Linked DNA regions of Drosophila melanogaster. The protein of the gene in region 1 interacts with the protein of each later gene in a pairwise test. Each region holds a gene or a part of one and is shown in the gene's direction. Other genes may lie near its edges. The genes, in order: Tim17b2, Targ, CG42690 and CG14823.

Region 1 (3,043 bases):
GGCGTTTTGGCATGTGCAGGGATTCTCTTCGAGCGGGCAAATGAGTTCCGTTCTGGATTCCCTTTGTAGTGGGTTATGCAGATGCATATTCCTTAAGATATAACAAAATGTTGCATCACAGCTGCCCAAACACTGGCCTCTAACGGAGCATTCGGAGATCGGAAGATGGAAAACGGAACCGTTTTAGAGATCATATCTGTTCGATATTATAATTTTTGAGTTTTTACTGTTTACATAATCATTATTGTTTTAAAAAACATTGCCACAATAGATTACCAAACCTGCATTTCTGTAGCGTACATTGTGGAGCTCGATTTACAGTTGTAGAATGCTGTTCTTAAAATTTTGAATATGGTTTTAAATTGTTCTGTATCCAAAGACAACTGCAGTTTTTTTAATTTCACATAATACGTTGGTATTTTAACAACAAATAATGTTAATAAAATTACTAAATGGGCTAGTAGGCCAATTCCATTTGGCCTGTGACTTCCCAGAAAACTGTAAGGCTCGAATCTCCGGAATTCGTGGGAAACCCATGGTCGGATCGCGTCCTAGAACGGAATGGCCAATCCTTTCGCATAATGTGCCCACATTAACACCACATCGATCTAATCCCATCTAAATCATTTATAAGCGACAACAATTACCGTGGAAATGAAGATTTCATTGGAAATCCCGCAGCAGTGGCAAACAATATGCCCAGTATTTACATTTACAAATTATATATAATGTCTTATCCTGCAGCCATTTCCCGTCAAATGATCCCCGATAACCTTCTCGGGAGTGAGAGCAATCAATCGAGTGCAACACGTTCTAACGATTTACATGTCAAGTTGACGAGATTTGTCCTGTTGAACAATGGACTGGCGCTTCGTGTGTGTCCAGGTGTCCCCTCATACTTAAATGCCTGCCCATCGATTTCGGTTTCGATCGGGGTTTCGCTTTCATTTGTCACTGCTGTCTGACACCTTGTTATGCGGAGATATCCATCGAGGGCCCGAATGCGAAGACTTCCCCCTTTTTCGAGCTAAGCAAACACAGTTGCGGCAGTTTCAAAATTTCGATTATGCTCGCGTGATAATTATGCATGCAATCGTAAGCTTCCCTCCTGAAGTAGTTTGACATACGCAGTATAAAATAGTATTGGGTCTGGAGTTCTGGTTTGGTTCGGCTTGGCTTTATCGGTCGACGACAATCGGTCTCATTGTTTCCGTTTCCCACCGTCTGGCTTTGCCTTTGTACGAATTGCGTCTTTCGAATGGCCCCATCCCCATCCCAATCCGAATCCCAATCCCCCGTCCCCTCCCCATTCTCGAGCCGAAGTTGTCCAGCTGCGGCAGTAAATTTTATGGTTAACTACGGTCCGACATTTGTGCTATTTAACCTTTTTGTGCCATTGAGCTTCGGGGCAAAAGATCCCCGATCCACGTGCGACTCTGTTTGCTCTGACTCTGGTTCATATGCTAATGGGTGTCTGGTGGGGGCACAAACAAAACCAAGTACTTCTTACTTACAACCTGTAGTTTGAAATTTGAGTTCCTGGACATGTTCTCCATGATTTTAAATCTACTAGGTATGTAGCAAGCTTAGTCGCACAATTCACAACAAACTCTGGAATTGACAGACACAAAACTCATAATTTCCTTATACATATCGAGCGACGCCAAGTCACATATAACTCATTTGTAGAAAATAAGCAGAAGGCTTGAAATTTAGCAAATTCAGTTTTTAATTTCGGCCAGTGATAGGAAATCCTGCCAGTGGAAAAGTGCAAAGATGGAGGAGTATTCGCGGGAACCGTGTCCCCATCGCATCGTCGACGACTGCGGAGGAGCCTTTATCATGGGCTGCGTTGGAGGCGGGCTCTTCCAGGGACTCAAGGGATTCCGGAACGCACCACAGGGACTAGGACGCAGGGTCGCCGGCAGTGTGGCTGCCATCAAGACCAAATCTCCGGTGATAGGTGGAAGTTTCGCCGCCTGGGGTGCAGTGTTCAGCATTGTGGACTGCAGTCTGGTCCACTTTCGCCAAAAGGAGGATCCCTGGAACTCGATAGTGAGCGGAGCAGTTACTGGTGGAATTCTGGCCTCACGCAATGGAGCGGCGGCCATGGCTGGAAGTGCAATTATCGGTGGCGTACTGCTCTCAATGATCGAGGGCTTAGGCATATTTTTTACACGTTTCGCGGCGGAACAGTTCCGAAATCGTGAACCGCATATCATGCCTGATGCCAATGAAGGATACGGTGACTTCAACTCTTCCGGATTTGGATTTCCGGGTGCTCAGCAGGCCACTGCAACTAGCTAAATTCCGATTTTTCTTGTCTGGGTATATTAATACGTAGTCCTTTTTGATTTTCATAAGTGCTAGATTTAGCAATATTCCATTTGAAAAATTCGATGACAATAAAATATGGACAAAATTGCAGTATTTCCATTTAAGCTGTTTTTGCAAAGGAACCAATTTATTAAATTTCAAACAATTTAACACGGATTTATAATTATTAAAATACAATTAGCTGCCGTTTGCAGCTCGTTTTGGAAGAAGGAACAAATGCAATTGGCCCTCTTATCGTTCTCCGTGTTAATTCATTCGTATTCATAATCATTATTGCCTCAACAGGTAGTAGGTTGTTTCACACTTGCCCGAATCCACGACAAAGACACCTGACACGTGTCATAGGTCAGCGTGAGATATTGGCAAATGTTTACCTGTTCCAGATGACTACCTGCGATGCTGCGCCGGCGCATAGAGTCAAGTGTCCGGTCGGCGGGTGTGGCCACTTTACAACCTGTCCACTCGAGATGACCGCGGTGTTCTGGCCATTAGACTGAGTGAGGTACTGAGTGGCACTGGCTACCGGCCACATGTCCTGCTCCTAGCTGGAAAGTCTCGAGCGCACTCAAATCAGAACTTTTCCCCCGCAAGGCAAAAAACCAAAGGCAACGCCGATTTCCCAGCAACACATGGACGGTGGGAAGATGGGAAGTCGAGCCCAGTTATAAAATCGTGGGAAAACGCCGCCTACAAGGAAATCCCTTTT
Region 2 (5,662 bases), on another chromosome or scaffold:
GATTTCTTATTGGCGCACCTATCGTCCGAGTGGGCAAAGCGTCGGTCGACCTGTGACAGAGCCAGAAATTGTGACTTCACTAGTCCCTTCACCTCATTAAGAAGCTGCGGGCGAAGTATTGATGAACTTTTGGCCAGAAACATAACTAAACGGAGGTTTTGGATTGGAACCGGTGCTGTGGCAGGTTGAGAGACACGAAATTTTGGTCTGTACAGGCGAACGCTCTGCTTTGATCTGGCTAACACCAAGGTGCTGAACCAATAGTTGGCAAGAAATCTAGTCCAAGGCCGCCATGATGGGATCTATTTTATTTACATTTCAACAGCTACTTCTCTATGGATTCCAGATTTAAGTGTGTAATTCCTCGAATACTGTCGCGAATTGAGCCTTTTCCGGGCCACGGACCAAATGGGTTTTCCTTGTTTGTTCTGCAGTTAATTGCGAATGGATTCGATGCCAGCGAATTTGCAATGTCCAGCTGCCTTGATTTGCAGGCAAATAACAATAAAGAAAAAATAGGCAACGCAACCTTCACTTTACGAATTTTTGCCCCAGCTTGTTTGCAAGTTAAATGCAAACAGAGTGCAGCCAGCCAAACGACAAAGCCCAACAAAAAAAAAAAAAAATAAAACAGAACGAAAAATATACATACAAAGCTGACCCCCTGCGAAAAAAAAAACAACAGAAGTCCACTAGAATAAGTATACGCCGCGTTGGTCGCCGCTCGCTGCTTGCTGTTCTCGGGGCAGTTTTCGCTTTTACGCCGCTATTTTCATTGGAGTCACTGCCGTCCGAGAGTGGCCATGCATGAGGGCTCCCATAAAATTGGGTCAATTGCTGTTAACAATTTGGCAGCGCAATCTTTTGGCCGTTTCGATTTCAAGGCGCTCAGGGGAAAAAAAATCGAAAAATAGGAAAACACAACGTGGGCCATAAAAAACGAGCACGTACGAGCGAACCTTTTGGAAAAAAACAATTTCCGCATAGAGTTGTTGGCCAGGAAAAATAGCCGCTGCAATCGGTGCTCCCCCGCGGGAGAACAGGAAAAATCCAGGGGGGGGGGAAGGTGTAGATGAAGCTGAAGTGGCTGGTCGAAAAGTTTGCTGGCCTTTACGCTAATTAATTAGTGCACTTTGTTTGTAATTCATTTTGCAAAAGCAGGGCTGGCTTAGTTAAAGTTTCCAGGGGCGAGGTTTGTTTCATAAAGCATGGACCGACTGCCTCCAATTCAAGAGCCCGGGCATCACTTTCCATTTAATCAACTGGGGAAACAGTCGACCCCAATACTTCAGCTCTTGTTGCCTTTGAGTGACTGCCAATGAAGTTACTGCCCCTAAAGCTGAGATGCACTTTAGCCGCTCCACTCCAATCGCTCCGCTCTCCGTGCAAAACTCAGACGACTAAGGAATGATTTCATTTACTTACAATCAATGAAATTGCACTGATGCAATTTTGTTTCGGCCCCAAAATAAACAGGCAAGCGGGTGGAACGGAGCTGGGATCGGGTTGTGGCAATAGGGATTCGCCAGGCAAAAGAAGATGGCGATGGCGAGGCGATGGCTAAAAAGTAACAGTTGCAGTGGGGCAATTGCGGAGGAGGAGCAACTGGGGGTCACCAACAAGCAACTACCAACCAACTCCGTTTGTCACGCTCGCCTGGCAGCCATGACAGCATTTGGTAGCCAGGAGCAGCTAATGTCTGGCGACAGTTCCCGAATCCCACGAATCCCCATGAATTCCCGTTCCTGTTGCTGGGGCTTCTCATCTTGCAGCCAGACACGTAGCCAGCCACTGTGCATTGGGTTCGGGTCGAGACGCAGAGAGATTTGTGAAAGATGTCAGGAACACTCTGCGACAGAGTCGAAAAATGAGCAGGAATCGTAGGCGAAGGTGACTGAGTCTGTTCGCCCAGCAAAGCACTCAACTCGACCAAATCCCTCTGTTTTTCAGCTTCCCCAGCAGCCAATATGAAGATAAGACCGCCGCTGCACAGCCAAGTGGAAGTAGCTTGAGATCCCAATCTCTGTCCAGGCTGGACATCTCGGTTCAAAACTCATCCATCTATTACAATGATACGCGAAACACGCGACCACAAATGGTCAGTGTGGCCGTCGGCACAGTTTCAACGGATATCCTGAATGGGCGCACATCATTCTTGTCCCTTAGTCAGTCTCACGGGAGTGAAGTGGATTTGCCTTCGTTCTACGAAAGCTTTAATCCAACTTTTCTTCCCAAGCTGCCTATCAGAAGATTTCCCCATATGCTTGTGGGGGCATCAAATGAGCCTGAGATTTCGAAAAACCAGCCAGCAATTCCACCATCTAGGCCAATTGAGCCAATATCTGAGGTGCCGTTTGTGGAACCGGCCTTTGAGAAAAAATACTCTAGGACCCGTGGATTTAGCAAGGAATTGTCCACACACAGGGATAATGAGAATGAATATATCGAGAGCACAGATGAGGTGTCTCAGATGTTGAGCTTTACTAGCTATACGGATGAATATGATAGGGCAGAACCACTCATTACCAAAACGCAAAAGTTTTATAAAAAGAGTAAGTTATCATAGCGCTGCCTTCCTTTTTACAAAAATGTTTTTTTTTTTATTTTTATTTTATTGTCATGCAATTGAATTTTGTCTAAGCTATTTTTGGCCATTTGCTTGAAATTGAGGAACCTACCAAATGCATTTCTTGTAGCTAAAACTGTAGCCTTCTTACAGGATCCCCCTTGATTCCCAAATACGATTCCGAGGATTCATATGTGGTCCCTAAGGAAACCGATCAACAGGAATCGGGTCTCTCGTTCAATGTAACTACAGTACAGTTGGCCGATACCGCATCGCCGGAATCTTTCAGCGAATACGACGGAAATCGAACGCGCAAGCAATCGTTCGACATGGAAAGTAAAAATTCGAAGGAGTCCTTTGACTTTAGCCGTGGTGGAAGACGACTTGGCTCCGGTATGGTTTTTGTAAGTGAGTGAATAGCATTCTTGTGGTGGTGAATTGAGAAACGAATGACGACTCTTGTCATCCACAGATCTATATGGTGATACCACCGGACGGCGGATTCGGTTGGGTAATCATGGTGCTGTCCTTCCTCGCCCAGCTGATAATCGATGGTTTAATTTTTACCATTGGGGTCTTATTGCCATCCATTGCCCAGGATCTGGATGTCTCCATATCGTCGGTATCGTTTGTGGCCAGTGTCCAGATTGGTTGCTACTTCACTAGCGGAGCGTTTTCTGCTGTCCTGATAAATCGTTTTGGTTTCCGAAAGGTAGCCATCGCTGGGGTCCTGTGTTCCGCAGTTTCAATACTGGCGTCCAGTTGGAGCGTCAGCTTGACCATGCTGATCTTCTTTTACAGCGTCCTTGGTAGGTTGATTCTAGATTGCTGTACGATATTCGATGAATAATAGTACTAGCCTGCGCAGGTGGTATTACGTTGAGCATGATCTGGGCAAGTTCGCAGCTGATTGTTGGCTACTACTTTGAGCGGTACCGTCCGATGGCCAATGGATTTTCCTGCAGCGGTGGCGGTGCGGGCATAGTACTCTTCACGTTCCTCAACAGCTGGCTGGTGCCAATCATCGGATGGAGGAACATGCTGCGGACGCAGGCGGGGCTGATAATGTTGATCCTGTTGATGGTGGTCGCCTATGTGGAGGTGGCTCCCACCCAGGTGGGCATGTACCATTTACCCGGTTCTTCGGATACCAGTTCGGATGAGTATTACGGCAACTTCTACGTGCATGACTATTTACGTCAATCCGCGATGACTGCTAAAAGCCGGAGTATCCTAAGTACATATGAGCCACGCCCAAAAAAGAAAGGATGCGCCAAGTTCTGCCCCTCCTGTTCGAACTGTTGTTGGAGGCGGCGGAAGAAGTCGCAAAATGCTGATGAGCAGAATCTGCTCATCCGCCCGGCGCCCCTGGAGCGGGAGGATCTCTTCTATACGGGTCCTGCCGAATACGAAAAGCCGCACAGCAAGGAGAACGTCGACGGCAAGGAGTTCCTACTAATGGGATCGGATAAGAACGTAAGTGTTGTATTAAGAATAAATTCGCTTCAACTTAAGAACACCACCAACTTTCACTTAGACCCAGCAAGTGAACTATGGCATCAAGAACATTCGTGTGGATGATGAACCCGATAGGATTTCTAGAGTTCATAGGGAACGAAGATGGTCAAACGAGAATCAGAAAAAGCAAAATTCCTGTAGGAATAGCCGGTTTATGCTCACTGTGCTCAAACTATTCGACTACCGCCTGCTGAAACAGTTTGAGTTCAAGATTCTGGTGGCGTCCGCCTTTCTGTTCCCGATGGGCTTTAATATACCCTTTGTTTACTCGTCTGCACGAACCACGATCCCCGTCGAATATGCCCGTATGATCGGCCCCATTATCGGAATTAGTAATCTTGTGATGAGAAACATCCTTGGCATCCTCGCTTACAAAAGGCGTAGTTGGACCCTCGGACTTTGTGGTTGTGGTCTAATTTTCGGTGGTGTTTCCGTTTTGATTAGCGCCTTCTATGGAGAGAACTTGATTTGGTTCCAGTTTCTGTATGGCTTCTCCTATGCTGTAGCGCCTGGTGCGTACATTTACTTACCTTACTTAAGTTTACAATATTACCCTCTCTCATTTCCATGGAATAGCTGTTTATTCCACACTGAGAGGTTTGATATACGTGAAATACCTGGGACTTTCAAAACTGACCAACGCTTTTGGGATTACCTCATTGGCCATGGGAATGGGCGCCTTTATTGGGACTACAATTGCTGGTAAATTGATAGGCATCACGGGAAACTATTCTGCTGCCTTTTGCTTTGCGGGATTATGTCTCATAGTGTCCGGATTTCTGAAGCTTCTGCTGCCCTTGCTTATTAAATGTCGCAACAGGATGGCCCAATGAGGAATTGGACTATTGGAATTGCAATATTTATTGGTTCTCCTGCTTGGAACTTGGGATTGTCTTACAACTAATAGCTTAGGCATTTTTATGACTTTTTTTTACTGGTCCTCGTTCCAAATTCTGAGTAAATGTTTGTATATCCATGTAATTGTTAATTGACCGATGTCATTAACTATTACTTCCTCCTTATTACAGATTTATTTTCAATATAATTTCAATTCAAGTGAGTTCTTTTTGGGGTTGACTTTTATTGCAATCCATTTTAAGTTATTAGTTAGCTTAGTTTACATCTAATATTAGCTTAGTTGCTGAACAACACACTTTGGCTCCACGCTTATAGGTTCAAGTGTGCTGTGTTTGGTTTTTCATTTGGTTTTGTTTCCATTTTTCCTTGTTTGGGTATGCAAATTTTCACGCTTCTTGTTTACTTTGATTTGCTTTCTAAACTTTGTACGTCTACTGTTCAATGTTTTGTTTTTTTTTTCTTCATTTTTTATATTTTATGATGATTTTTTTACATATTATTTAGAGCTAAAGCAACGAAAAAAAAAATATAAATCAATGTGAACACATAAACATAAGAATGTTTGAATCGACATCCGCAGGACGAATGACTCCAATCCTCTGTGTCCTGTGTCTAAATCTTTCTTGTGTTTTTTAATATTGTCAGTAGTCTTCCCCATCGTCGCCTCTAATTTAATCCATTTTTAATTGAAGTCTCTGCCGTCTGCGTTAAAAACAATGT
Region 3 (3,782 bases), on another chromosome or scaffold:
CTGCACTTAAAATTGTTCCAAACGCGAGTAATAGCCGCACTACCGCCAAAGGACGTGGGTCCCTGGTAAAACGGCGAGCTTAACGTGAAAAGTTGCTTAGTCCCAGAGAATGTTGGATGTGCTGACTCGTTACGTAAGTCGCTACTAGTGGCGTCGCTCATACCCTTCTGAGAAAAATCAAAATCTTTCGACATCATGCCTGCTTACTTTCAGAAGGAAAATAATACGAAAATGATTAGTCTATATGAAAAAGATTCAAAGTTTTCCAAAAAAATATACCTTCCGGAGTTTGATATGTTTCAGCTTGCAATAATACAATCACTAAGACTTGTCTTAGATTTCGAAGCCTACTATGGAAATCACCACAAAACAAGAGAGAATGCTATAGAAGATTTTTTTTGGCAAATGGATAGAAATTTACAACACTAATACAATTTTTAAAAAATATGCAACAATTTTTAAAAATGTGGTCGCGGCACATTTAGGCGGTTTAGGGCGTTAGAGTGTGTGTGGCAAAAATTTTTTTCTGCAAATCGATAAAAATTTACAAGACAAATAAAAACGTAAAAAAATACCAAAACATTTTTCAAAAGTGTGGGCGTGGCTTACTCTACGAGTAACGGGTATAAAAGTCAGTATGGCAACCACCTGCAGTGTTACCCATATTTATCGTGTAAAATTATTCATAGAAACAAAGCGTCTTGGCATTAAATGTCACTTCAAATAATAAAGAAACGGAAAATCATGAATATTTTGATTATGTACTATTTATATTTCGGTAAAAGACGTAAATTGCATAATGAAACATTATCATTGTGATTAAAATCCTCTTATCTTATCACTCATTCAAAAATTGAGATGTGCTGCAATGTGAGTCGCCAATACAGTTGCGTCGTTATAGGAGTGCTGGCCCTTATTGTAGCGTCCTTAGATCTAGGATACCGAACTCATCTGCTAGGTAAAATAGTGCCATATTATGCATTTATATATTAGTTAATTTCGTAGCCACATATGGTTTGAATCGTTGGATACTGGCATCTGTGATTGCCTGGTTGCTCATAATCATGGCCGCAGTTGTTCTGATTGTAGGCGCAATAAAGGCAAGTAATTATTAAAGAAACGAAAAGAAATGTAAATTTTTCTAATTGTAGAAAATAACTACTCTTCTGCTGATTTGGATAATAATCGTACTGATTGTCGGAATTGCTCAAATTTTTATAAAAATTGTGTTATTCACTCCAGCCAAAAACATTCATCCAAGTGACGCATACTATATTCTTGCAGGCGGCTTTATAATACTTCTAATACGTAATTTAACAATTCAAATTTTCTTTTTAGCAATATTTTTACGACAATTTTTTTCCAGTGTTGGTATTTTGTTCCGCATACTACCCTTATGCATACAAACGTGAACTTGAAGAAGAGGAATACGAATAAATTAAATTTTCAATATCAACGTGTCTTTTATGAAACCACATTTGAAATCTACGATTTTCATTTTAGCAAAACTCTTGAGCCACTTTTAATTACTACCATTTTCATTTTTGTAAAATTCTTAGTAACAAATGACATAAGTTTCTGAATATTTCATAACTCTATTTTTGGGTTAACTAACATGTTAGTTGACTTGTATATCAAAACCTGTGTTAAATATCAATGAAAACCAAAGTAATTTGGACTTAAATGTCAAATAATTCTGTAGATATTCTGTATAAATGCTTTTTACATAAAATTTATATTTCTCTTTCCCTTGCAAAATTCATAATGGTGAAAAATAATAACATTCCATCGCATCCTGTAATTTTCGGATTTATAAATTTTGGAATTATTATCTACAGAACCGATTGAGATGTGCTGCAATGCCAACCGCCAGCTATTATGTATCTTTACCGGAGCATTGGCGATACTGATATCAACTTTATGTTTAGGATTCATGCTTTACCGGCTAGGTAAAGTAAGGTTTATAAAAAATATACTATTATAACAATGTTTTTAGGCACGACTGGTATAAACCATTGGGAGGAGGCGTACCTGGTAGCCTGGGCTGTCATTATTTTAGCAGCGGTACCTCTAATTGTAGGAGCAATAAAAGCAAGTAAGCGCGAAGTAATAAATATCCAATATTACCCATGTCCTGTTTTAGGAAATTCGCTATCTTTTGGTGATTTGGATAGTAGTCGCTTTAATAAGCGGCATTTCTCTGATAGTTATTCAAATAGAAATGTTTCATAGCTTTTTTCATAAGGATCCTGATACAGCCTTTCATATTCTCGGTGGTATAGTCATTATAGTTTTCGTATGTATGTTAACGTAGTTGTATTATAATTTTCATTTTAATAATAAAAAATTTAATTTTTCAGTATTGCTCTGCTGTTTTCTATACTTCCCATATACGTATGCGCGTGAGCTGGAAGGAGATTAATACGGATAAAACGGATAAAAAATATCCAGTGTCTTGGACTTAAATTTCAAACAAAATTATCAGTTTGAAACCATTTTTTTTTTTTTGTATATTTTTAGTTGCTTAAATCAAATGTTGTTTCCTGTGGATATATGGGAAATACTTTAAAATTGGAAAAATAAAACTACAATGTGCTTGAATGCGAACCAAAAGCCTTGTTGCGTGATAATTGCCTTGGTTGCGATTTTTGTCGGAACTATAGAGACATCTTACGAGTGCTTTCATTTAGGTAAGAATTATTCTACTATAAAGCTACCAAAATAATATCTGCATTATATTTAGCCTTGCATGGTATGAACAATTGGTTAGTGGCAGCATTGATCGCATGGATTCCCATTTTTATTGCTGCAATTTTTCTGATTATTGGTGCACTTAGGGTAAGTATTCGCTAGTAAAGACAATCTATGTTTAATTTAAGATACAAATGTTTTCTCAAGGAAATACCTATTCTTCTGCTTATCTGGGTAATAGTGTCACTGATTTGCGGAGGTGCTTTGATAATTATAAAGATCGGATTGATGATATACCTGAATAGGCTTCGTATATATCTAGATATTGTGGTCGCCATTTTGAATGTAATATTTTTAAGTTAGTCAATTGGAACTAAAATTTTCGCTAGTATATGAATAATACGACCAATTTTTTTTCAGTGCTGGTCTTCGTTTGGGCGGCCTATCCTTATGCATACATGCGTGAACTGAAGGAGCAGCAAATGATTTGAAATTATCACTTGGGCGTAGATGATGGAAATATCATAAATAATGGCAGTGCTGAAATTATTAAGAAATATTACTGAGCCCATTTATAAAAACTTCTTTATATTATGTAATTTCCAAAAAGGGGGAATTTTGGTTATATATTTTTAACAATGATCAATAAACGTTAAGCCACGTTTGTCTGTCCGCTTTTACTAAAAATCAACATACAGACTGTGCGATATTCCGACTCTGTTGCATGACTTCAGTTTTTTTTATTAAACAAATAGCAGCCAGTGACCAGGGGATGCGAATTTGCATAAAATAACAGAGGCAATAACAATGGGTGACAACAAATCAAATGCAAATGGTAAACCGACCGCAAATAGAAAGTGAAAATCAAATACAAAACGCTACCGTTTATTTCTGTGCTTTCGTATCTCGGCACTTTCTGGCCGATTTTTGGGTCTTTTGTGTTTATTTGTCGGGCGACTAATTTAAATAAACATTTGTTTGCACAAAGGCTTTAATACGTTTGGCAAATGACTTCCTGAATTGTGTGCTGCATATACCAGGGTACCAGCCCAACTGTTGGCTACTCGGATTGCATAATCAGTGAGACAAAT
Region 4 (5,564 bases), on another chromosome or scaffold:
ACACCCTCATCCCATTCGTATCCCAAAAGCAATCCCAATCCAAACGGTATAAAGGCCATTTAGCCCAACCACTGGTAATTTTTCCATAATTGATTTTGGCTTGCGGTCTGGCTCGTCCTTTCATCTGGCCATGTGTTAGTCAGGGGCAGGAAACCCTCACGCACCCCCACACATACAAATGAGTTTTTGCCTTGGCCGTATGTGAAGAAAAACATACCGAAATGGGAAACGGAAACGCCTTGAGACAATGGCGACATTGGCGAGGCAATGTGGAAATGGCTGCTGTACAGAAAAACTGAAAGAATAATCAACTAAGTGACGGAGCATTTCTTTTATTTGCCGAGCACCTGTGCAGGATGTGTTCAGAGGCGTCCCCAAAAAAAAGGGACGATAGTTTTGGAAAAATTCTTAACGAATATTTGAGCATGCTCTGGCAAAAGAAGGAAATTATTTGCTTGTATATTTCTTTAAATAGGAAATGAACAACTTAAATAAATTCAAAGTCTTCTTTCCCATTTTAAAATCTTAAAATCTTTAATTTGTTTGATATTTTCGCAAAACATGGAATTCTTTTGTATTTACACTTTTGGAAGCAGTTTGTAAAAATTGTTTGAGTGCCAAAAGTCCAAGAATGCAAGGCGTGATTGGAAGGTGTCAACAACTTTGTTCTCATCTCAATGAAAAGTTTTCGAAAAATCTTTGCTGTCCCACTTGATAGCAAACAAACTTGATCGAAGATATTCTAGAAAAATAATATAAATAAATGGGAAGTAAACAGAGATTTGCAGCATTTTAGGATGCATTGCACGGGTACACCCACACTTTGCTGTTGACAGATTTCGATGGTCGTGAAGTAAGTTTGCGTATGAAGAAGTGGCACTTCAGGAGGCTTCGAGGACGTCCTGGTCACACCCCTTCTCGAAGGATGACGCTCCTTCCACTGGATACTGGTGCCACAAACGGCTGCTGTTGTTTGCTGCCCCAACTTTCGTTCCAATTTCGCCGCAAGAGTCTCAACAATTTCTCATATTTGTTTACAATTCGCGCATACAAATGCGCAAGGTTATCAGCAAAACCAGCCACCCAACCACCACCCATTTGGCAAATATCGCCACCCATTTCCCCCCTTTCAATGGACGGCTGCCATAAGTTGTCATGTCGCAAATGGAAGCGGAGTGTCACCGACACCCAATCTAAAGATACACGTGAAAAAATCAAATGAATATGTAATAAAATCAATAAAAACTACATACTGCTGAAATTTAAAAAAAAAATTATGTTCCATGTCACGAAAACATATGTATTAAATATATTAAACTATGCTTCCATGAAAAATTGTGCATACATTCAGTTCTTTATTAGAGCTGTTATAATTAATCAAATGCCAAAGAAATATAAGAGAATGAAATTAAAAATATACAAAGCTTAAAATTAAATGCAGATACCACATTTTTGATAATATTTTTATTCACTTTCTGAAATAATTTCAATCATATTAGTTTGAGTATTATGTGCAAAATAAGCACGGCTTGGTCGCCAATGCTGCCGAATATAGTACTTTTAAAATAAACTCACTACTTGTTTAAATTCGTGCCACTTTTAGGAATGAAACCACATGCAATTTAAACTTGTTGAGGTGTACAACTACTGATGTTCGGGAATTGGAGAAAAATCACCATGTTGAGCGCCACTTGAATGCGAGAGAAAAATCACCGAAATGCTGGAGGAATGGAGAACAAACGCTGGAACAGATTAGCTGGTCGGGGGAAAAAAAAACGCTGGGAATGTAGAAACCGCAATCGCCGGGCATCAATTACGCCGACAACATTGAGCGATAATCGAGGGGAGGTTATCTCGAGCAGCACCTGTAACTTGGTACCATGTACAAATGCCACAGAGTGTTCCAGCTATTCGCTTGGGTTAGTCGGTTTGCGATAGCAAAGGGAGAAGCCAGCTCGCCATGGAGCCCACATGCAGCAGCAGTGTGGCGGAATTGGCCAAATACAGTGAGGATGATGTGGAAACGGATGAGTCCAAGGTGGTGGAGCATCAGGAATATGCCGAAGCGCTGTCAATGTCCGGGGAAAGTCGTAAGCGGAAACGATGGACTCGAAGGTCCTGCTGCACTCGCCAAGTCCTGAGTACGGGCGCCATTTTCATCGCCCTTCTGCTCATCATCGGCGCCATTTACATGCACTTAAGACAGAAGCATCATCTGGGCCGACTGCACATCAATCTCAAGGATCGGGGGCAAGTGGAGGTCCTGGAGGAGGACTTTCCCATGGTCACCGCTGCGGGAGTGGGTGAGTGTGCCACAAGGACTCTTGTTCAATCGCTAAGAAGCTCTTAGACTTCGGTTAATTTTATAAGCGGTTTATATTGTTGGGATAGTGGTATTTTCTCTCTTTTTCTTTGTTTTGTTTTTTTTCTTTCCCAGCTGACTGATTAGAATTGCCATTAGATGAACCAGCAGATTTCAACGTTTCGAAATTATAGCGATAATAAATAAAAGCTTGTATTTATTACACAACAACTATGCAACGCGTGAGTTGTTTTTATTGTATATAAAAAATTTTAATCGATCATTTCAATAAGTGACAGTCATCGACAGTATGTCAAGCACGTAAAAGTTTGAGATTAAACTGTAAATAATAAATACACATCTGCTAAAGTTTGCCAGCATTCAATATAGATTTATAGTTTCTACATTCGCCTTAAGTTCGACTTGAAAACTTTAGTCTCAAACAATTATTTTTCCGACGGAAGACTTATATTTATTAAGTAACAGGAAGTTTGTAAACACCAAATGTGAACTCAATTTAAGTTTCGTTTAGCAACGTCCTCTGCACTTATAAGGCCAAAATATAGTCGGAACTATGTTTTACATCAATTTAAAGTTCATAAAAGTGCAGTTTAAAGTTGCTTCAGTAAATCTGCTAATAAAACATACTCAAAAAACTTTGCAACTAACGAGGAGAGTGCGGTTTAAACGTGAGGTCTAGGAGCTATTTACGTCCACGGGAACTATGGATAACTCACTGCCAACTATGCTGCATGCTGTTAGCCATATTGTGTGGTAAATAGTTTCGATTAAACGGCTAATTGGACCCTCTTTGGAATGCATTTTGCAGATGCCCAGACCTCGACGATAACAACATTCCAGCCGCCTCCGACATCCTCCCCAGAGCCCAGTGCCAAGTGCCTGGACTGCATGGCCACCACTGCCACGGATAATATTCCGGCAATCTGCAGGCACCGAGGACGACCAGAGGAGCCGTGCGGCATTTATCGCATCTCCCACGTCTACTGGCAGGACGCACTCCGGATAATTGACCCGGACGACTCACTCGCCCGGGGTAATGAATACACTGAGCAAAAATGTTTGGCAACAAAATTACAACAAGTCGAAAGCATAAGCCATTTCTCCATTTCTCTATTAATTTTAAATTTGCTTTTCATCTTCAGTTTCAAGATTTTGTTGTAAATTTCTTCATGTGTATCCTGTTGTTGCCAGGCTGCCACAAGCGTGTAATGTCCACCGACTAACCCTTTTTCCTACATCTCACCCTTCAACCCACAGACTACGGAAGATGCGTGGTGGATGTCCAGTGCGCCGAGCGTATTGTGCGTAGCTATGTGCAGCGATATGGTGGCGAGGATTGCAATGGAGACGGACGGATCGAGTGTCGGGATCATGTGAGGCTGCACATGAGAGGACCCGGCGGCTGCCGCAGGCAGGAGCCACTGGGGAGCCTGTCTGAGAGGAGATTGGAAAACTGCTTGAAATACAGGGGGATTACTTAAAACCGATTGTTCGTTTATTGTTTCAACTGCAGGCGATGCATTATGGGCCGCCAGTAGAGGGTTAGCACAAAGAGGCCTATGAACTCGTGGAACAGCAGCAGGGCGGCGAACTTGTCATCGAACAACTTGGTCGAGGCCCTTCTTCCGCCCATGATGCACTGCACATGATACATCAGGAACTGCAAGTGATTTGTGGTTATGCGGCAGACAGTTGCAGGCTGGTAAAATGCGAAAAATGCTTACCATCATCACCACACAGCCGATACAGAATGCGAAGAGATAAAATCCCCAGATCACGTCGAGAACCACATACAATACCAGGGAGTATATGCTCAGTGAGTAAGTGCCAGTTGCAAGGGCATATAGGTAGAGTCCGGTGCCTGTGAGGTCATACTTAGGCAAGATTTTGGTTGATTATTTAACATCCTTTATCTGTACTAGCTTACCGCCATTAAAGCAGCTATAAGTGTACATAACACAAATGCAAGGCTGACAATCAGAAATCCGGCAAGCATATAAAGTACTCCCGATGATATGATCAGCACACTGAGAGAAACTACCACACATTCCACCTTAATATGCTATGGGGTTACATTGTTAGGTAATTTAATTGTTAGAATACCCACGATAATAAACGTAATCAGCCAGTTGACACAGGACATTTTCCTTAGCGGCATACTTAGGGCAAACAGGAAAAGTAGGAAAATGCCAAATACAAAGGCTAGGAGCAATGCAGATGAGTGCTCGTTTACCAAGACCAGAAACCATTCGCTAGTAGTAATTACATAAATCATAAGTAAAAAAGTTATTATCCAAATCTTACTGCAGCAAGGTTAGCACCAGGATCCAGTGAACAAATCCTATCACAATGAAGACGCATAACTCCAGAATAACCTTTATGATATATCTTCGCCTATCATCCACAGATTCCGAGTGGAAAAACGGCCAGATGGTTATATCTGCCTCGAACATGGCAAAAGAAAAAATAGTTTGATTTTGGGCACCAGGCCGTCTGAGGCAAAGTAACTCTGAGATTCGTATAAAAAATTTACGCTATTCCCGGCATGGACACACTAATTGCACATCGAAATGGGCCGTCCAGAGCACAAAGTTAATGGGAGCGAATTAGAACAAACAATGACGACGATTCGGCGTACATAATTGAACTCGACAAAACTTTATAATCTGGCAGCATCGCGAACAAATTGAACAACAACTCGCAAGTGTGTAATAATTAAAAGTTTGCGCAAAATGTAGCGGACAAACAAGCGGAGGGGAGACAAAAGTTTTGGCGCAAGTTTTAAATCATTTAGCAGGGCCGGACTAATTGCTGCCATGTCGCATTAATTTGTTGCGACTGATAGCGGGCAAACAGTGCGTATGCGCAATGCATAAATTTATGATTTCCATCATGGCCTACCTAGGATTTGTCGGACTCTTAATCGCAGGATAAAGAGACTTATGGCATAGGTTTGCATATACTTATAATACAAATCTAAGAACTTTTTGTTAATTCATGATTCAACTTCAATGTTTATAAAGTTGGCAGAGTTTTAATACCGAGATATTTTTCTCTGTATTTTATATTTCACATTTAATTATTTTAGCCTTACCGACATCAATGCCCAAGTAAGTCGGCATTGTTTATCCCTAGGACGATGACGTTGATTTCTGCCTCGCCTGAGTCCTAATCTCTCGATTGCATGACAAGTGTACATAACTTTATTCAATCAAATGTGCAAATAGCGCATGTTGCAAAC

What was found.
Region 2: the proteins of Tim17b2 (region 1) and Targ interact in a two-hybrid assay, tested with the Drosophila melanogaster proteins (one large-scale study listed by BioGRID).
Region 3: the proteins of Tim17b2 (region 1) and CG42690 interact in a two-hybrid assay, tested with the Drosophila melanogaster proteins (one large-scale study listed by BioGRID).
Region 4: the proteins of Tim17b2 (region 1) and CG14823 interact in a two-hybrid assay, tested with the Drosophila melanogaster proteins (one large-scale study listed by BioGRID).

Annotation. Positions count from the first base shown.
Region 1 is NT_033779.5:15,483,061-15,486,103, forward strand, and holds Tim17b2 (translocase inner membrane 17), read left to right. Parts: upstream 1-1,668; 5' UTR 1,669-1,776; coding exon 1,777-2,307; 3' UTR 2,308-2,485; downstream 2,486-3,043.
Region 2 is NT_033778.4:14,666,549-14,672,210, forward strand, and holds Targ (tarag), read left to right. Parts: upstream 1-1,842; 5' UTR 1,843-1,867; coding exon 1,868-1,890; intron 1,891-1,899; exon of another isoform or gene 1,900-1,950; coding exon 1,951-2,552; intron 2,553-2,719; coding exon 2,720-2,970; coding exon of another isoform or gene 2,971-2,974; intron 2,975-3,038; coding exon 3,039-3,375; intron 3,376-3,425; coding exon 3,426-4,042; intron 4,043-4,103; coding exon 4,104-4,596; intron 4,597-4,660; coding exon 4,661-4,917; 3' UTR 4,918-5,127; downstream 5,128-5,662. Other genes in the region: CG12860 (uncharacterized protein), read right to left, coding at 1-143.
Region 3 is NT_033778.4:19,943,748-19,947,529, reverse strand, and holds CG42690 (uncharacterized protein), read left to right. Parts: upstream 1-1,652; 5' UTR 1,653-1,849; coding exon 1,850-1,949; intron 1,950-1,996; coding exon 1,997-2,091; intron 2,092-2,143; coding exon 2,144-2,300; intron 2,301-2,360; coding exon 2,361-2,422; 3' UTR 2,423-2,590; coding exon of another isoform or gene 2,591-2,690; intron 2,691-2,743; coding exon of another isoform or gene 2,744-2,838; intron 2,839-2,898; coding exon of another isoform or gene 2,899-3,049; intron 3,050-3,111; coding exon of another isoform or gene 3,112-3,182; 3' UTR 3,183-3,267; downstream 3,268-3,782. Other genes in the region: CG30447 (uncharacterized protein), read right to left, coding at 1-197; CG42691 (uncharacterized protein), read left to right, coding at 859-958, 1,006-1,100, 1,152-1,308, 1,367-1,437; CG43195 (uncharacterized protein), read left to right, coding at 2,591-2,690, 2,744-2,838, 2,899-3,049, 3,112-3,182.
Region 4 is NT_037436.4:7,064,424-7,069,987, forward strand, and holds CG14823 (uncharacterized protein), read left to right. Parts: upstream 1-1,890; 5' UTR 1,891-1,960; coding exon 1,961-2,303; coding exon of another isoform or gene 2,304-2,350; exon of another isoform or gene 2,351-2,437; coding exon of another isoform or gene 2,438-2,445; exon of another isoform or gene 2,446-2,544; intron 2,545-3,131; coding exon 3,132-3,356; intron 3,357-3,580; coding exon 3,581-3,804; 3' UTR 3,805-3,818; coding exon of another isoform or gene 3,819-3,983; 3' UTR 3,984-4,047; coding exon of another isoform or gene 4,048-4,197; 3' UTR 4,198-4,250; coding exon of another isoform or gene 4,251-4,376; 3' UTR 4,377-4,430; coding exon of another isoform or gene 4,431-4,575; 3' UTR 4,576-4,627; coding exon of another isoform or gene 4,628-4,776; 3' UTR 4,777-5,040; downstream 5,041-5,564. Other genes in the region: CG32391 (uncharacterized protein), read right to left, coding at 3,819-3,983, 4,048-4,197, 4,251-4,376, 4,431-4,575, 4,628-4,776.